Notamacropus eugenii: one gene and its partner. The protein of the gene in region 1 purifies or fractionates together with the protein of each later gene. This does not show direct contact. Links are inferred from orthologs where the notes say so. Each region holds a gene or a part of one and is shown in the gene's direction. Other genes may lie near its edges.

The links. Proteins that work in one complex are often made in the same cells at the same time.
Region 2: the proteins of SLMAP (region 1) and PDCD10 purify together in Homo sapiens (affinity purification with mass spectrometry; 3 studies listed by BioGRID and IntAct, counting the BioPlex papers as one, with this or other methods). This does not show direct contact. The link is inferred for Notamacropus eugenii from reciprocal best matches to the Homo sapiens genes SLMAP and PDCD10.

The regions. Positions count from the first base shown.
Region 1 is NC_092874.1:467,542,409-467,550,109, reverse strand, and holds the start of SLMAP (sarcolemmal membrane-associated protein), read left to right. Parts: upstream 1-4,700; 5' UTR 4,701-5,094; coding exon 5,095-5,292; intron 5,293-7,701. UniProt on the Homo sapiens protein: Associates with the striatin-interacting phosphatase and kinase (STRIPAK) core complex, forming the extended (SIKE1:SLMAP)STRIPAK complex.
Region 2 is NC_092877.1:356,728,574-356,736,045, forward strand, and holds the start of PDCD10 (programmed cell death protein 10), read left to right. Parts: upstream 1-4,463; 5' UTR 4,464-4,611; exon of another isoform or gene 4,612-4,664; intron 4,665-7,472. UniProt on the Homo sapiens protein: Promotes cell proliferation. Modulates apoptotic pathways. Increases mitogen-activated protein kinase activity and STK26 activity. Important for cell migration, and for normal structure and assembly of the Golgi complex.

The DNA.
Region 1 (7,701 bases):
TTCTCCTTGTCAGTGTTTCTTCCTGGGGCACTTTTTATTACCTGAAAAACCAGAGGGCCAAAAATAGGTGAGTATAGGCTATGGAATGTCTTGCTACTCCACCCAGGACACCTGGTCAATGACAGGGTATTTCCACATACTGCAAACCACCCTGGACTGAAACAAGCTCTTAATGAGGAAAGAAGGCTTACGATCGCTTGGGTCTTAATAAAGACAATAGAGGTATTCTTTTTAAAAGTAGCAAATGCTTTCAATTGGGATTTCTACCTGATCCTGAGCTAATCCTCCATTTTTGGCTTAATGATATTTTGTACCAGCTAGATTGCCCTCAAATGGTAATTACACAATTTGTTATATCCTATGCATACGTGGAGGGAGAGAAAGTTCAGCGTTTGATCATTAATCAGATTTAGAGAACTATTCTTTGTTGTGCCTTGGAATTCCTTAGAATTATTTGCTGGTCTTTCACACTGGTGGTTTTTTTTTTTTTTAATAAGAATGTTGCAAATGCCTGTTCTTCCAAGACTGAAAGTGCCGTGATTTGGGTTCAAGAAGTGGTAAAACTGACATCCTGCCACGGAAAAGAAAGCTACTTTATAACTCTCACTGTTTCTCAAATTGTGTGGAGTTGTTTTTGGACAATTACAATTGTGCATTTATCTACAGTTAGGCAAAGGAATGTCCAGAGACCTTGATGTAATGTATGTAGTGCCTTACAATGTACACGGTGTTCTACCCAGAACCCTTGTGAGATATACATTGTCTCATCTCCATTTTACAGAGAAGGAAACTGATTCTCAGAGATGTGGATTTACTTGGGCAGGATTGCAGACACTGCTAAGTGCCAAGTCAACAAGCATTCATTAAGCACCTACTATGTGCTAGGCACTGTGCTAGGTACTTTGGATACAGAGAAAGGCAAAAAGAGTCCTTGTTTTCCAGGAGCTCTTAGTGTAATGAGGAACTCACAATGGCAGCCAGGCCTTCTGAATCCTAGGCCAAAACTCCTTCTACTTCATCACTTTGCCTAAAACAGTAGGTCTGAGATTCTCTGCCTGTCATGCTTATTGAGGTTTGTTTGATTAAGGTGTGGTGAAAGACCTTCAAAAGATTATGGACTTTTCTAAGTCATTTTTTTGGTGCATACATATAAATGTGGAATCCCTTAAATGGCCTCCTTGGATTGTGTCAGCAGGTCCAGCCTTTTGGGGAGTCAGGATTGAAGTGAGGCTTTAAGGGATTTGTTGAATAGAAAGCAACTTCCAAACAATTTTGCAATTATTCTCTTTATTAAAAAAAACAAACAAAAAAAGCCCCCAAAAACAAAAAACCTCAAACCAAACAAAGTTGTTTCAGTCAGGTCTGATTCTTTGTGATACCATTTGGGTTTTCTTGGTCAAAGATTTTGGAATGATGTTAGCCATTTCCTTCTTCAGCTCACTTTACAGATGAGGAAACTGAGACCCACAGAGTTGTGACTTGCCCAAGGTCACACAGTAAGTATCTGAGGCCATATTTGAACTCAGGTCTTCCTGACTCTGGTGTTGTATCCACTGTACCACCCAGCTGCCCCTTAGTATAAGGTATTTAAATGTATAATTATGTGGTGTTGGCAATGCAACTGTGGTTGTAACTAGTAGCTCTGGTTTCCTTCTCCTGTTGAGAACTACATCTTCCAGCAGTTTCTGGGCATTTGAAGACCCAACCATATGAGAAGATGTGTCTTACTAGAAGGGAAAGTCCTTTCTAGCCAGAAGGAAGATAATAGAGTGTTAACAAGTACAAAAAAGAAGGTTGTGGGGGCCTACATTGGAAATACCCCAGAGGGCCTGGATTCAAATCCATCTTTTTTTTTTTTAATTAAATTATTTTATTTATTTTCAGTGTCCTAGATTTTTTTCTCCTCCCTTCTCACTCCCTCCCTGACACTGCCTTTAATCTTATATAGGTTCTACACATACATTCCTATTAAATACATTTTCACCTTAATCATGTTAAATAGAAGAATTCAAATGAATGGGAGAAACCATAAAACAAAACAAAACATAATACTAAAGAAAATGATCTGCTTCTTTCTGCGATCCAATTCTACAGTTCTTTCTCTGGATGTGGAAGGCATTTTGCTTCAAGAGTTCATTGGGAATTTTTTAAGTCCTTGCACTGCAATGAAGTACTAAGTCTACCTGAAAAATTTCCCGTACACACTGCGGTTGTTGCTGTGTACAAAGTTCTCCTGGTTCTGCTCCTTTCACTCAGCATCAGATCATATAAGTCTTTCCAGACCTCTCTGAAGTCTTCCTGTTCATCATTTCTTATAGCACAATAGTATTCCATTACATCAAATCCCTCTTTGAACTCTTACCATCTGCATGACCTTGGGTAAGTCCTTTCATCTTTGGGGCCTCAGTTTCCTCATCAGGAAAATGAGGTCAGCTAAGTGGTAGTGGCCAATAGATTACCTGGCCTGGAGTCAGAAAGACTCATCTTCCTGGGTCCAGCCTCAGACACTTCCTAGCTGTGTGACCCTGGGCAACCGACATAACCCTGTTTGCCTCAGCTTTCTCATCTGTAAAATGAGCTGGAGAAGGAAATGGTGAAGTACTCCAGGATCTTTGCCAAGAAAATCCCACAGGGGATTTACAGAGTTGGACACCACTGAACAACAACTTCTGCTTCCAGATCCAAAGCTTGTATCCTGAGATCACAGAAACAAAAATAGTAGGGAAGGAGAAAACTCACCTTTTCCAGCCCCTGCCTCTCTCCCAAACCTTTTTCCTTCTCACTTAGAGGTGATTTTCTTTATGATTTTTTAGACTTCTTATGGAGTTCACCTGGGAGTCCACCTGTTGGGACTTCAATGATAATAAACTTTTATAGTTTTTATTACAGTGTATTTTATAAAATCTATAGTCTCTGGACCTTCTTTTCCTGTTTGTAAAATGGGAATGGGGACAAGGGTAAGGAAGAGCAGACAGGAGGTTGGCTTTCTTAATCTCTAAGTCTCTCTCTACTAATAGCCATTGGTTTACAGTTGGAAGGGACCTTGGAACTCATCCAGTCCACTTAACTCCTTTCAGAGGAGGTAGCTGAGGCCCAGAGAGGGAAAATGACCTGCCCGAGCAATAGTAATAACATGTATGGAGTACTTACTGTGTTCTAGGCCAGGTGCTAGGTCCGGGAGACTCAGAGAGGCAAATGTAAGTGTTGCCCTAAGGGAGCTTACCGATCTACACATATGTAGGAGGGCACATACTCCATACTCCTACATATGTGTATTCCTACATGTGTACTCCTACATATGTGTAGATGGATAGAATTTGTATATATGTGTGCAGATAGATATATATCATATTATATATCTATTGTGACATATAAATAGTATATTTCTATTATATCTTATATCTAATGTATAGATCTAATATATATACACGTATACATTTTATGACCTCGTTCCATTTTACCATATATTTATCCATATATATTTATATTCGTTATACATAAATGTATATGATAAATTGGAGGAAGGGCATAAAATTACTAAAGGGCAGCAGCTGGATTTGAACTCACGGTCTTAGGTGGTATGGAGGCGAGGGACGGCAGGAGGAGGAGGGGAAGGTGTTAAGCCACAGCGCGCCCAGTCACAGGGGCTTACGTCAGAGCTGGGAAGGAGGGAGGGGGAGGGGTCAAGGGCAGGGGAGTAACGAGACGATAAGGCCGAAATGCGCATGCTCAGTCACTAGGGCCGAGCTTCGGGGCTAGTAAGCATCTGTCCTTTGGGACTGGTATTGGCGCCTCCCCCGCCTCGGATTTCGACTTCGCTTTGCACGACTTCCTCAAGCATCGCGAGAGGTGCTTGCCCACAGCTAAGATGTCTGCCAATGCGCTTTGCCCCTGGGGGGGAGGCTTCTCGTCCCAGAGAAGCATCGCGGCGAGTCCCCCGAGCGCAGGTTCACCTCCCCACTGTCAGACAACGTCTCTTCATGAGGACGAGGCCCGAGGCGCCCGCCGCCACGCTAGGCCCCGGCCCGTAGGCCACTCCCCACTCCCCAGCCTTCGCTGCCCTTAAGCAACATGGCGGCCCGCGCCTCTCGGAGAGCCCCACCCCCGCCAGGACGGCTCCCGGAGCAGCCCGCCCCGCGCCCCGCCCCGGCCTCTTTTTGCCCACACCCAATAGGGCCCCCGCGGCGTCGGTCACGTGGGCCTGGGAGTACGGCGCGGGAGAGGGGCCGGGCGGGCGGGCTAGTGCAGGGTGCGCGCTCCCGCGGCCGGCCGTCCGTCCGTCCCGCTGGTAGGTCTCCGTCAGAGTCACTATGGCGGCCGGGGCCGGGGCCGGGGCCGGGGTCGGGGCCGCGGGTGGGGCGGGGAGGGCCGGCGGGGCGGCGGGGGGCGCCTGACGGGCCGGGAGGGCGGGCGGCGCCTGACGGCGGCCGGTCACGGTTCTTGTCGCCCGCAGGTCGGAAAGTTTGGCGGCGGCGCCGCGTGAGCCGGGGCGGGCGGCCGGAGAGGGCCCCGCAGGCCAGCGCTCGAGGCGGCGAGAGAGCCCAGAGGAGCGGCGACCGACCCCCCACGCGCCGCCGCGGACACGCGGGAGCCCAGCCCGGGGCCGCCCCCGGCGCGCGATGCGCGGCCCCCGCTAGCGCGATCCCTGCTGGGGCGAGGAACCGAGGCGGCCCACGGACGATTCGGCCGGCCCACGGGAAGGGGGGACCCCGCTCCGCGCGGCAGGGCCGTCAGTGCCCACGCGAGACCGGGTCCCCGCTCGCGTGCCCTCGGGCGCCCCCCGAGTGACTCCCGGAGCGGCCGCGGGTGGATGCAGGAAGCCCCCTCCAATGTGGTTGGAGCCCCTGGGTGCTGAGCCCCAGGGGGATGGAGTGAGGGGCGCCCCCCACGCGCCCCCCGGCCATGCCCGGACCGCTCCCACGGTGGTGACCCGCGGCGACCCCCACGCGCGTGCGGGGCCGATGCTGTCTGCGCTCTGATCCGCCTGCTGGGGTGGGAGGACACACGTGGCGCGGCCTGCTCGGCAGCGTGGCTCAGGACGAGCTCCTCTTCGGACCCGGGCCTGGCTGGAGCGGGCTCCCCGAGCTGTCCTCAATGCCTTCGGCCCTGGCCATCTTCACTTGCCGCCCCAACTCGCACCCGTTCCAGGAGCGCCATGTCTACCTGGACGAGCCCATCAAGATCGGGCGCTCGGTGGCCCGGTGCCGGCCGGCCCAGAACAACGCCACCTTCGACTGCAAGGTGCTGTCCCGGAACCACGCACTGGTCTGGTTCGACCACAAGACGGGCAAGGTGAGGGGCCGCGCCGTGCCGCGGGGTGCTGGCGGCCGTGGGCGTGGGCAGCGGGAAGTGGTCAGCGGGCAGGGGGCAGCGGGGCTGGACAGCCCTTGGGCAGGGGCAGCCTTGGGCAGCGGGGCTGGACAGCCCTTGGGCAGGGGCACGGGCAGGGGCAGCGGGGCTGGAGAGCCTTTGGGCAGGGGCACGGGCAGGGGCAGCGGGGCTGGAGAGCCTTTGGGCAGGGGCACGGGCAGGGGCAGCCGGGCTGGAGAGCCTTTGGGCAGGGGCACGGGCAGGGGCAGCGGGGCTGGAGAGCCTTTGGGCAGGGGCACGGGCAGGGGCAGCCGGGCTGGAGAGCCTTTGGGCAGGGGCAGAGTGGCTGGACAGCCCTCGGGCAGGGCCCCACCTTCTCCTGACCCAGGCTGGCCCCCTGGCCCGGGCACAGCCTGCCCAGGAATGACAGGTCACCCGAGGCCGAGATTGCCTCCTGGCTGCGTCCCGCCTGGTTCTTAAAGTTGACCCCGAGTCTCCCCGACTTGACTGTAGAGGGTTCAAGCTTTCCAAAGAGGATGTAAGAATCTAGGACCAGCCATTAGGACGCTTTGCAGTCACTTGGAAGAAAGTTCTTTGGAATTCTCTGGAATTCCTTGATTCTGAAATTATGGTGATGCAGAGGCAGTGGGCTTTTCAAAGCAAATGACATCTGTGCCCGGGACTTGGGTGAGAGCAGAGAAAGACGTTTTAATGTTCTTGTCCGGTGCCAGTACACTGCCTTCCTTACCTGTGGAAGATACTTCTCTTATGTCCTCTCTGCAAGTGTTCAGCTTGTGTGCCAACCAGGCTTCCCGGAACCCAGTGGTAGGACAGGTAGAGAACCTCCCATCGCCAGTCAGCTCTTTCCCCTTCACTTCTCATTAGGTGTTTGATTTGCCCTCGTACAGATGAGTGGATGGACTTCCTACACTCTGAGACACCTCGGGTAGACATTTTAAACACCACTTTAAATTTTGGGGGAAAAATAGTGATTGGTAACATGAAGGAATCCTTTCTAGGACTGTGCAGAGATAATATCCCAGTGGCTTAGTTGGATATGACTAAGAGTCTTAACAGAAGTGGGCGGTTTTTGGCAGGGGAATTGAGATGACATGTTAAAAATTTGTACAAAGCGTGTTCTTGAAAGCTCTGCAACCACAGTTACCTTTTTAAATGAAACGACTGGATCATTCCTAACATCTTCTCTTTCCTCACTACCTAAAAGAAGATGGTTTGTTAATAGCGTAGTCACTGACTGAATTAATCAATCCATGACCAATCAGATTGAACCACATTGCAGTACAGGCTATTTTAGCTAGTAGTCCTTTGGAATTGTGAGTTACCTCGGATAGAGAGACCAGCTAAATGACCATGTTAGTTAGTGCTGATGTTCTTGGGAGAAATGTCCATTGTGAGAAATCTTATGTTACTCTATTTCTCCCTTTTCCCTGACTCCTTACCCCCCTCCCTCCAGCAGCCACCAGTTTAGGACAGGTTCTAAATTTCATTTACTTTACACTGAACCCCTTAAAGGGGAAATAGCAAATTTAATTAGGTACTTGTTCCTAAAGTTCAGAGGACTTTGCGTCATCTCATTGAAACAAACTCTAAGGAACTGTCCAGCTTCTTTGGTTAATACTGGACTTTGCAGAGAGAAAGAGTTGGAAGGAAATCTCTGGGACCTAGAACATCTTCTGTTAGAGGAGATTTTTGTTCCAAATGAAATAGAACAGAGGGACCTGACTTGATAGTCTGCCTCCTGACACACTGGGCCCATCTTTCCTGCTCTGTAAATTAAGACATTGGACTAGCTGGCCTCCAAGGTCCCTTCCAGCTCCATAAACTTTTAAATAATAAATACATAGTTCTGTCATGTTATTTTCACAACCATGGAGGTAGGCCCTATTGTTACCTCCATTTTACAGGTGAGGAAACTGAGGCAATTTCTTACCCAGGTTGACACGGCTAGAAGGTGTGAGACTGTATTTGAACTCAGGGCTTTCTGACTCTGGATCTAGTTCTCTATGCACTGTACCATTCAACTTCTACTTTTACTTTACCTGTGTGATCTTGTGACAGGCCCTCAACTTACCTAACCTGGACCTCAGTTTGGTCATTTATGAAATGAGACAGTTGTACTTCATAGTTTCCATGGTCTCTAGTTCACGTTTATTAGGCTTTTAAGCTTTGCAGAGTTTTGTTTTAGCAGTCGGGCAGTCAGAAAGAATTTGCTATGCACCTGTGATTTGCTGAGCATTGATGACTCAGAGAGAGGCCAAAGACAGTGTCTGCTCTCAGGGAGCTCCCAGTCTAATGGCAAAAACAAGCTGGAGACAACTTGGTATGGATAAGATCTAGACAGGATAAATTGGAGATAATTAGCAGTGACTG
Region 2 (7,472 bases), on another chromosome or scaffold:
CATCACCACCTGCTTACCTTTGAGATGGAAAGTTTTCAATAATTCCCATCTGATTCCCACTGCAAGGCTTCCCAATCAAGTTAAATATTAAGCCAACTGAGTGACCCTGTGAATCAATAACTACCATCATTGTTTCCTTTCCCCACTACACATCTTATCCAGAGCACCCATTCATGTAGAAAAATAAAATTTATAATTTTTTTTGTTCCTTCTATATCCCATCAAGGCTCAGGTAACAGCAAGTTCTACTGTCTTAATGGGTACATACACATGTAACCTTTTCTTTCCTGCTTCAACAACCTGTGCCTGGGCAAAGGCTAATGATTTCATGTCAGCAATCTTCCCCTGAAAATGTCATTTTTGGAAAGTACCTCCCCCAGGGAAGGAGCCCTCAAGAAAATAACGATTATAAAGAAAGGACACAAAAATCATTTGTGAGGTACAGTAACAATAACTAAAAAAAAAGGTGTCAGGACTCCTTTCCACCTTGCGAGGAGTGGGTGGAGACCCTTCTCTTCAAACCTACCACATAAGGGGTAAGGGAGGAATAAGCTCTTGCCCAGTTTAATCTCAATCTTTTGTGATGAACGGATCAGACAACTTTCCTGTTGGAAAGATAAATCCAGCCTATGTATTTATTTTTGCTCAGTAAGGTTGGTATTCAGAATTTCAAATGGCAAAAAGGTAAAAAAAAAAAAAAAAAAGGAAATGCGGATTAACCATATTTTCTAGCTATAGAAATGGCAACTCTAAAGGCAATTTCTAAAAAACTCATTTGGCAAATGTTTATTTTTATTTCTTAGTTAGCCACAGATAAGTTCATTCTATGGCACTGAAGTCAAGAGAAAATAGGTTTGATTTTACCCCAGATAGTGATTTGCATAATATAATCAAACTTGCCCCTCCCCAATTCTTCACCATATATAATCAATAATGTATACATGTGGAATCTTTTGATGATCAGAGACTTAATTTCAACATCAATTTAATAGGAGTCAGGTCCAGGGAACCTTGAATGTAGCACCTTGGCAATCAGATTCAGTCATTCAACCCTAATTTCTATGGACATCATAAGGTTCTGTATTTCATTTATTTCTGTGTGCAATTCTGGCTGTGTGTTAGCTCAAAGGAGGTAGACTGGAAGGATGTATCAATGTGCCTGGGTCACAAAATACTCTGATTTTGTCCAATGATCCCAAGTCAAAATTTCCAACCAATAAATCAACAAGTAATTACGCCTCTACTATGTGCCAGGCACTGGGCCAGGTGCTGAAGATACAAGTACAAAGAAAAAGGCATGCATTAAGCCAGAATCTTTTACCAAGTAAGACTTCCCAGACCATTTCTTCCGCTTGGACAGAGAGATACAGGGGGAAAATAACACCAGTCAACATGAAGTAAAAGAATCAGGGTCACAGCCAGACACAGAGCCCAAGACACTAACTCAGAAAATATAATTCCACATACTGAAGAACTAGATAAAGCATAGAAATTCTGAGAAAATCTGAAGTTTTGAAAAGGAAAACCTAACTCCCAAAGGGATCCAAAAAAAGAATTTTCTCTATAAATCAGTTTTCATGTTGCTGTGGGCAGGAGAGTTTCCCACAAATAACACCAGTTTTTAAGCCTCACTCCACCCTTGTCCCAAATTCTGTCTCTCTCCACAGCAAAAGAAAAAAAAAGTATTTTCCTAGGAAGAAAGTCACACTCAGAACGTAGACAGAAGAATGCCTCACATGGTGCAGCATTCTGACTGAGTGTAGCAGCAGTATGGGTCAACTGCCACTGTTTCTTGTTCATAAAAAAGCTGGTCACGTCTGGCACTTACCTGATTGTCTCAGGGACAATGTGAACACAGATTTTTCTAACCCTTTTTTTTTTTTTTTTGGTGTTGTACACAGATAAGAGCTCCATGTTCATCCTTGATTCACGTGGGTTGTCAAACACTCATTAGCAATGAACTTCCCACTACCAAAGGAATGACTTCGAGACCATTTAATATTATGACCTGGCATTTAGAAAAATAGAAATAAAAAACAAGAGCCCAAGGAAGCCAGGAAAAATCGAGCAGAAAGTCAGCTGGAAACCAGCAAAGTGTGAGAACGGAAAATAAAATTGTAGTAAATGATTACTAAAGATTACATTTCAACATGAGTCAATTACCATTGCTACCCTATTCTGAAAATCATCTGGGTACCATAAGATGCCATCATGACAAACATGTTCTAGCACAAAGGGATGCTACAATATACTATTTTAATAAAAAATACGTAATCCATGACTTTTTTTGCTTTTAAAAACCTCACAAAGCAGGCAAATGGTCTGCACTTCTGTGAAAAAGATTTGACTGTTGTCTTAGGGTCACAAAAACTCACCCAGGTTTATAGTACCTTTCATCTCTACCTAGCATGAAAACAGCATCTTAAATTATTCAATTGCATTCAAAGTAAAGTCAGAACATTGCTTAAAAGTTTTAACATAATGAATAGCAACTGTCTCAGGTGACTATGACTTTTGTATCGCCATAGGTCCTTGTCTCACCACATCGACCCCTAAATAGACCACAAAACTTGTAATTCCTGCTTTTACAATGAAGCAAATCTGAGATGTACAAACATTCACCTGACTCATCCAATATCTATACGGAGGTGAGGTGCACCTGGGAAAGGCAAAGAACGGAGAGCACCGTATGTTGGATGGAAGGATATTAAGCAAGGTTTTTACTCCCATTTAAGAACCAGGCAAGAGGAAGCTCATCCTCCGTTCAGCCTCGACAGCTTTTTGATAGGGTCTTTGTTGACCAAAGTTATTCCCCTGATAGGCTCCATCATCCATCCTTTGGATTATTCATGCAAGCCTCCTTTTGCTTAATGTTTCTGAAGCAAATCATAGACATCCTTCTCTGTGGCAGAAAAGGGAAATACAAGGAAGAGCTGATGAAGCAAGGAAAGGGAGAGGGGTCCTTGTTCTGGGTTTAAAACTTGTTTTCATAATAAAGGAGTTACATAATTCTAAATCTAAAGCAAAACGCCTGTACTCCGATACAGATGAAATTCACAGGATTCGAAATTAGTCAATTTCAGGCACCGGGGCGGGGGAAGGGGAGGGTTCCTCCGAGAGAAAAAAAGGATTCGAATGTCACAAAATTCCTCAGATAAACGAATCATGCTCTAAAGGCGTTTCAAGTGAATCACCTTTCTTCCTCACCTCCTTTTTCAAATGCAACATTTATGTTTCATTGAAAAGAGTTTGCAACCTACGTAGGAAAAAAAAAGAAAACCACAAACCCTGATACTTTAAAATCTGCTACAAATAGTAACCGGAGGAATTTTCCTGGTAGGCAACAAAGTCATCTTGGATTGAGAATACTCGTCAAAGCAGCGCAGCGGGCTTACCTGGCCTTCAAACACTGCCAAGCCCTCCTCAAGAGATGCTGCTAGACGGTCTCCAGCGAAGACAAGTCCCAGACGGACAGCTCCGGCTCCAGCTGGGGCTCCCGCTCGTGCTCCGGCTCTGGCCAGCGCTGCTACTGTTTCACAGCAATGCTACTGTTTCAGCACTGCCTTCAGCTCTTACTGCTGCGGAAACTCCGCCCCTCCGGGTGGCAAACGAAGCTGCCGCCGTCGCTCCTCCCTCCCCCTCCTCCTCCTCCTCCTCCTCCTCCTGCTGCTCTCGTGGTTACTCCAGCTGCGGATGCTCTTCCACCCTCCGGCTTCCCTTACCTTTCCTGGGCTGGAGGCTTTAGCTTCTGCTCCCCCCTCGCTATCTTACCGCTCCACCCCACCCCCAACTTTCCCTGTGTCTTCCCACCTCCGACTTCTATTGTTTCACCGTCCGCCCCGCCGGTTGCTCCCACACCTGCTGCACCTGCATGTGCCTCTGGATCGGGGAGGGAAGGAGGAGATGCTCCTATCTCCACTGGACCCTCCACCTCCCCCAGCTCAGCCGCCCCTGCCCCTCCCGGGAAGGGTACAGGAGTTGGGCGATGACAACTGCCCGCGGCCCCGTCTGGTTGAGCCCGAGAAGCTGCTGCCACTGCTCCTGTTAGAGCGAGTCGCTCAGAGCTCCCGTGCCCTCCACCCCACGCTAACCCCGGGGGTCCCTCCTAGCACGCGCCTCCCTCAGAGCCCAGAGCCACCCCAGGGGCTACCCTAGGCGTGCACCAGCCTCCTCCTCTACCTCCGCCTCCTCACCCCCGCCCGAGCCGAAGCCCGAGCCGACCACCCTCCCTGATTGGGCCAGGTGAGCCAAGACTCCTCCCCTTCTCTCGGATCCCCAGCCCACCCTCCCTTCCTCTCAGCCCCGCCCAGGGGAGCGAGAGGGCCTAGACGATTGGTTCGCGACGTCCCCACCCATCTCCTGGAGCCGCTCGCAGGGACCGCTGGGTGATGTAGTCCGATCCGGGTTCACGGCTGTGGGCAGGGCCGAAGGCTGAGACTACGAGCCCCCATCGGCCCGTGCGCGGCTCCGGCTGGGCAGGATTCCGGACAACGCCTGGTTCCTCTCGGCTCCTTCCGGCGTTGCCGGAGTGAATTGATCCGGGAGTTGAAGAGGCTCCGGAGGTGGGAAGTGGAGTCTGCTTCGGAGCTGCTGGCGCCGCCACCTCCAAGGGTAGGGCTGCCCTGCCGGCCTCGACCTCGCTGCGCCCCGGTGGGCGAGGGTAGGTGCGCCGGGGCCCGGGAGCCCGCGGGGCCCTGCGGGCGTCGGGCGGTGACTAGACGCGAGCGGCCTCCAGCGGGCTCATCGAGGCCGCCCGAGCGCGGGCCTCCCTCCCGGCCTCCGGCCTCCCTCCCCGGGGCCGCCGTCCAGGAAGTGGCGGCAATGGCTGGGGGCAGGCCTCGGCCGCCGAGGCCGGGAGGGGGCGGATGTGCCTCGGGTGGGGTCCGCTCCAGGTGTGGGAGGAGGAGCCAGGGACGGCGGTGGGGGAGGCTGGAGCCCGGAGCGGGCCCTGCGGGGTAGGGCGAGGAGGGAAGGGCCGGGGCTCGCGGCCCAAGGTCGGGGGTCACCGGCGTCCTCCCTGGACGGAGGCCTGCCGGACAAGGCGGGAGCCTCGGGGCCCCAGCTGCCCAGGCGTCCAGTCGGATCGCACACAGTAGGCGCTTCATAAATGCTTGTTCCCTTCCCACAGCCATTCCTTATTCTCCCTGTCTGTTGGAGTAGCGTCTGACTTCCCTGACTGGAGTGGGGGGGGCAGATCTATCACCTGGAACATCTGTGCCCCCCCTCATTGAAAATTAAACTCGTATTTGCCCTGCTGGGCCGCTTGGGGGGATCCTTGGCCCCCCCTGGACTCCGTGCCCCCGCCCCCGCCCCATCTCTGTGTTGAATAGGGAGTGTCTGAGTTGGAGAAGCCCCCCTTGGACGGCGATCGCTGCCCAGGTGCAGAACTTCTCTGTACCAAGTTTGTGCCCCACCCAGCCGGGCTCCAGGCTCCCTTGCAGTCGCTGTTGGGCTTCTCCACCCCTATGTCTCATCCTCACCTGCTCTTTTGGCCTCCTGAGGGCTGTAGAACTACAGGCATCCCGATGAGTCTGTGGCCAGCATCCATCGGCTCAAGTATTTTAACTTTAAAGGTGCATCTGAGTGCCTGTCATCTGAAAAAAAGTTGTGCAAGATTCATGGAAAGGGAAGAGGATCTGACTCACTTCTGGTTTTTTATCCTTGTATTGGAGGAGTCAGGTGATGGAAAGAGCACTGGATTGGAGCAGGAAGACCTGGTTTAGAATCTTAGCTGTGTGGCCTCCAGCAAGGCCATTAAGTGTCCTTGGCTTCACTTTCCTAATTTGGGAATTGAGTTACTTGCGCTAGATTGCCTCTGAGATCCTGTCCCAATCAGAAATCCTGCGATCTTGGGAATGGCTTTGGTAACTGATAAGAAGTGACAACTTATTCTTGTCTAATATAGGAAAGTCATTTCAGGACATAGGAGAACTTTAACGTGCTGCTTTTTCCTTCCACCAGGTCTCCCTTTGTTTAAAAAAAAATCTTTTTACAGAAGTACAGTACTTTGAAGTTGGTACTTCTAGAACAGTTTGCTCATACACTGATATTTCAGAGACTTAGAAAACAAGTTTAGTATGTCAGTATAGGGAGGTTACATAACTGATAATGTATGGGTTACCTCTCAGTGATTTACATTGACTTTTTGCCACCTTCAAGAATAATTTCAAAATTCAGCTCTCAGAGAAAATATTGCTGTTTAACTACATTGGTAGATAACATATAATATGTCCTGCAAGTCACATGATCTACCTCCCCTATTTTTTTTTTTAAGGATTTACATTCCTGAGAAGATTTCACAGTAAGGAACGAAGGAGATTGGGGTAAAATTTGTAGTTTCTATTAGGCTGAGAATAATGAAAAGGGACCTAGCACCCTCTGCCATGATAATTGCATGCTATGACTCTATGTAGTTATCTACACTAATATAGGTCTGGTATTAGGTATTATGATAGAAACTTTTAACAGAAATTCATAAAATGTTAAGTGTTCCAAGTTAAGATAAATTGACCTCAAAAATCATATCTAGTTATAGTCAGCCATCTCCACATAATTTGTTCTCAAGATATTTACTCAATTTTTTATAACAAAGAAAGCCCTGGCAGACTCTGTGTGTGTGTGTGTGTGTGTGTCTGTGTGTCTGTCTGTCTGTCTGTTTTACATGCTGGTCACTGTCTAATAGGTTTCCCTAGGTTCCTTTTATGACTTGAAGTTTGGAATAATGAGGGAATTTACCAAGATCCAAAAAGGATATTATGATAAAAGTCAACTTCAAGATAGAATAGAGATCCAAAATCAAAAGAATGAAATATAAAAGAGAATTACATATCAGTTATAATACACGTAAAAGGGAGAAAAGTCATCAAATTATTTAAGAACAATCAGCATTTGTTATGTCGGAGGAATCCTTCAAGATCCATCTGATGGCACCTTTTCCATGAAGTCTTCCTTGATCACTTAGCTAGATGTGGTTTCCATTTTTCATACGACCATCACCCTGACTTTCCCTCAGCATTTGTTTATTATAATCATTACTATAATTATTAATAGCCAATGGACATTTATTAATCACCTACTATGTACTGGGTTCTGTACTAAGCACTAGGGATTCAGATAAGAAAAAGAAGACCAGTCCCTGACCTCAAGGAGCTTACTGTCTACTAGAGAAAGAGTACACTGAAGAAGCTGAAAGGAGGAGGGGAGAGCCAGCGCCAGACTGTCTGGCCAGTGCTAACTCAGAACCAAGCAGAGCAGCTGACGGAAGATGAAGAGAAGGTTGGGAATTCTGAGCTCGCTAGAAATGGAGGCATTTAGAGGAGTTTTTAGCTTAGCCTTCCAACAGAAGAGAGGCAACTGAAGGTGCTGAGGCAGTGTTGACTCCCAAAGCTGAAACACTCTCCATTATTAGATTTCTGGAGATGGGCAGCTAGATGGCTCAGTGGATAGTACTGGGCCTGGAGTCAGGAAGACTG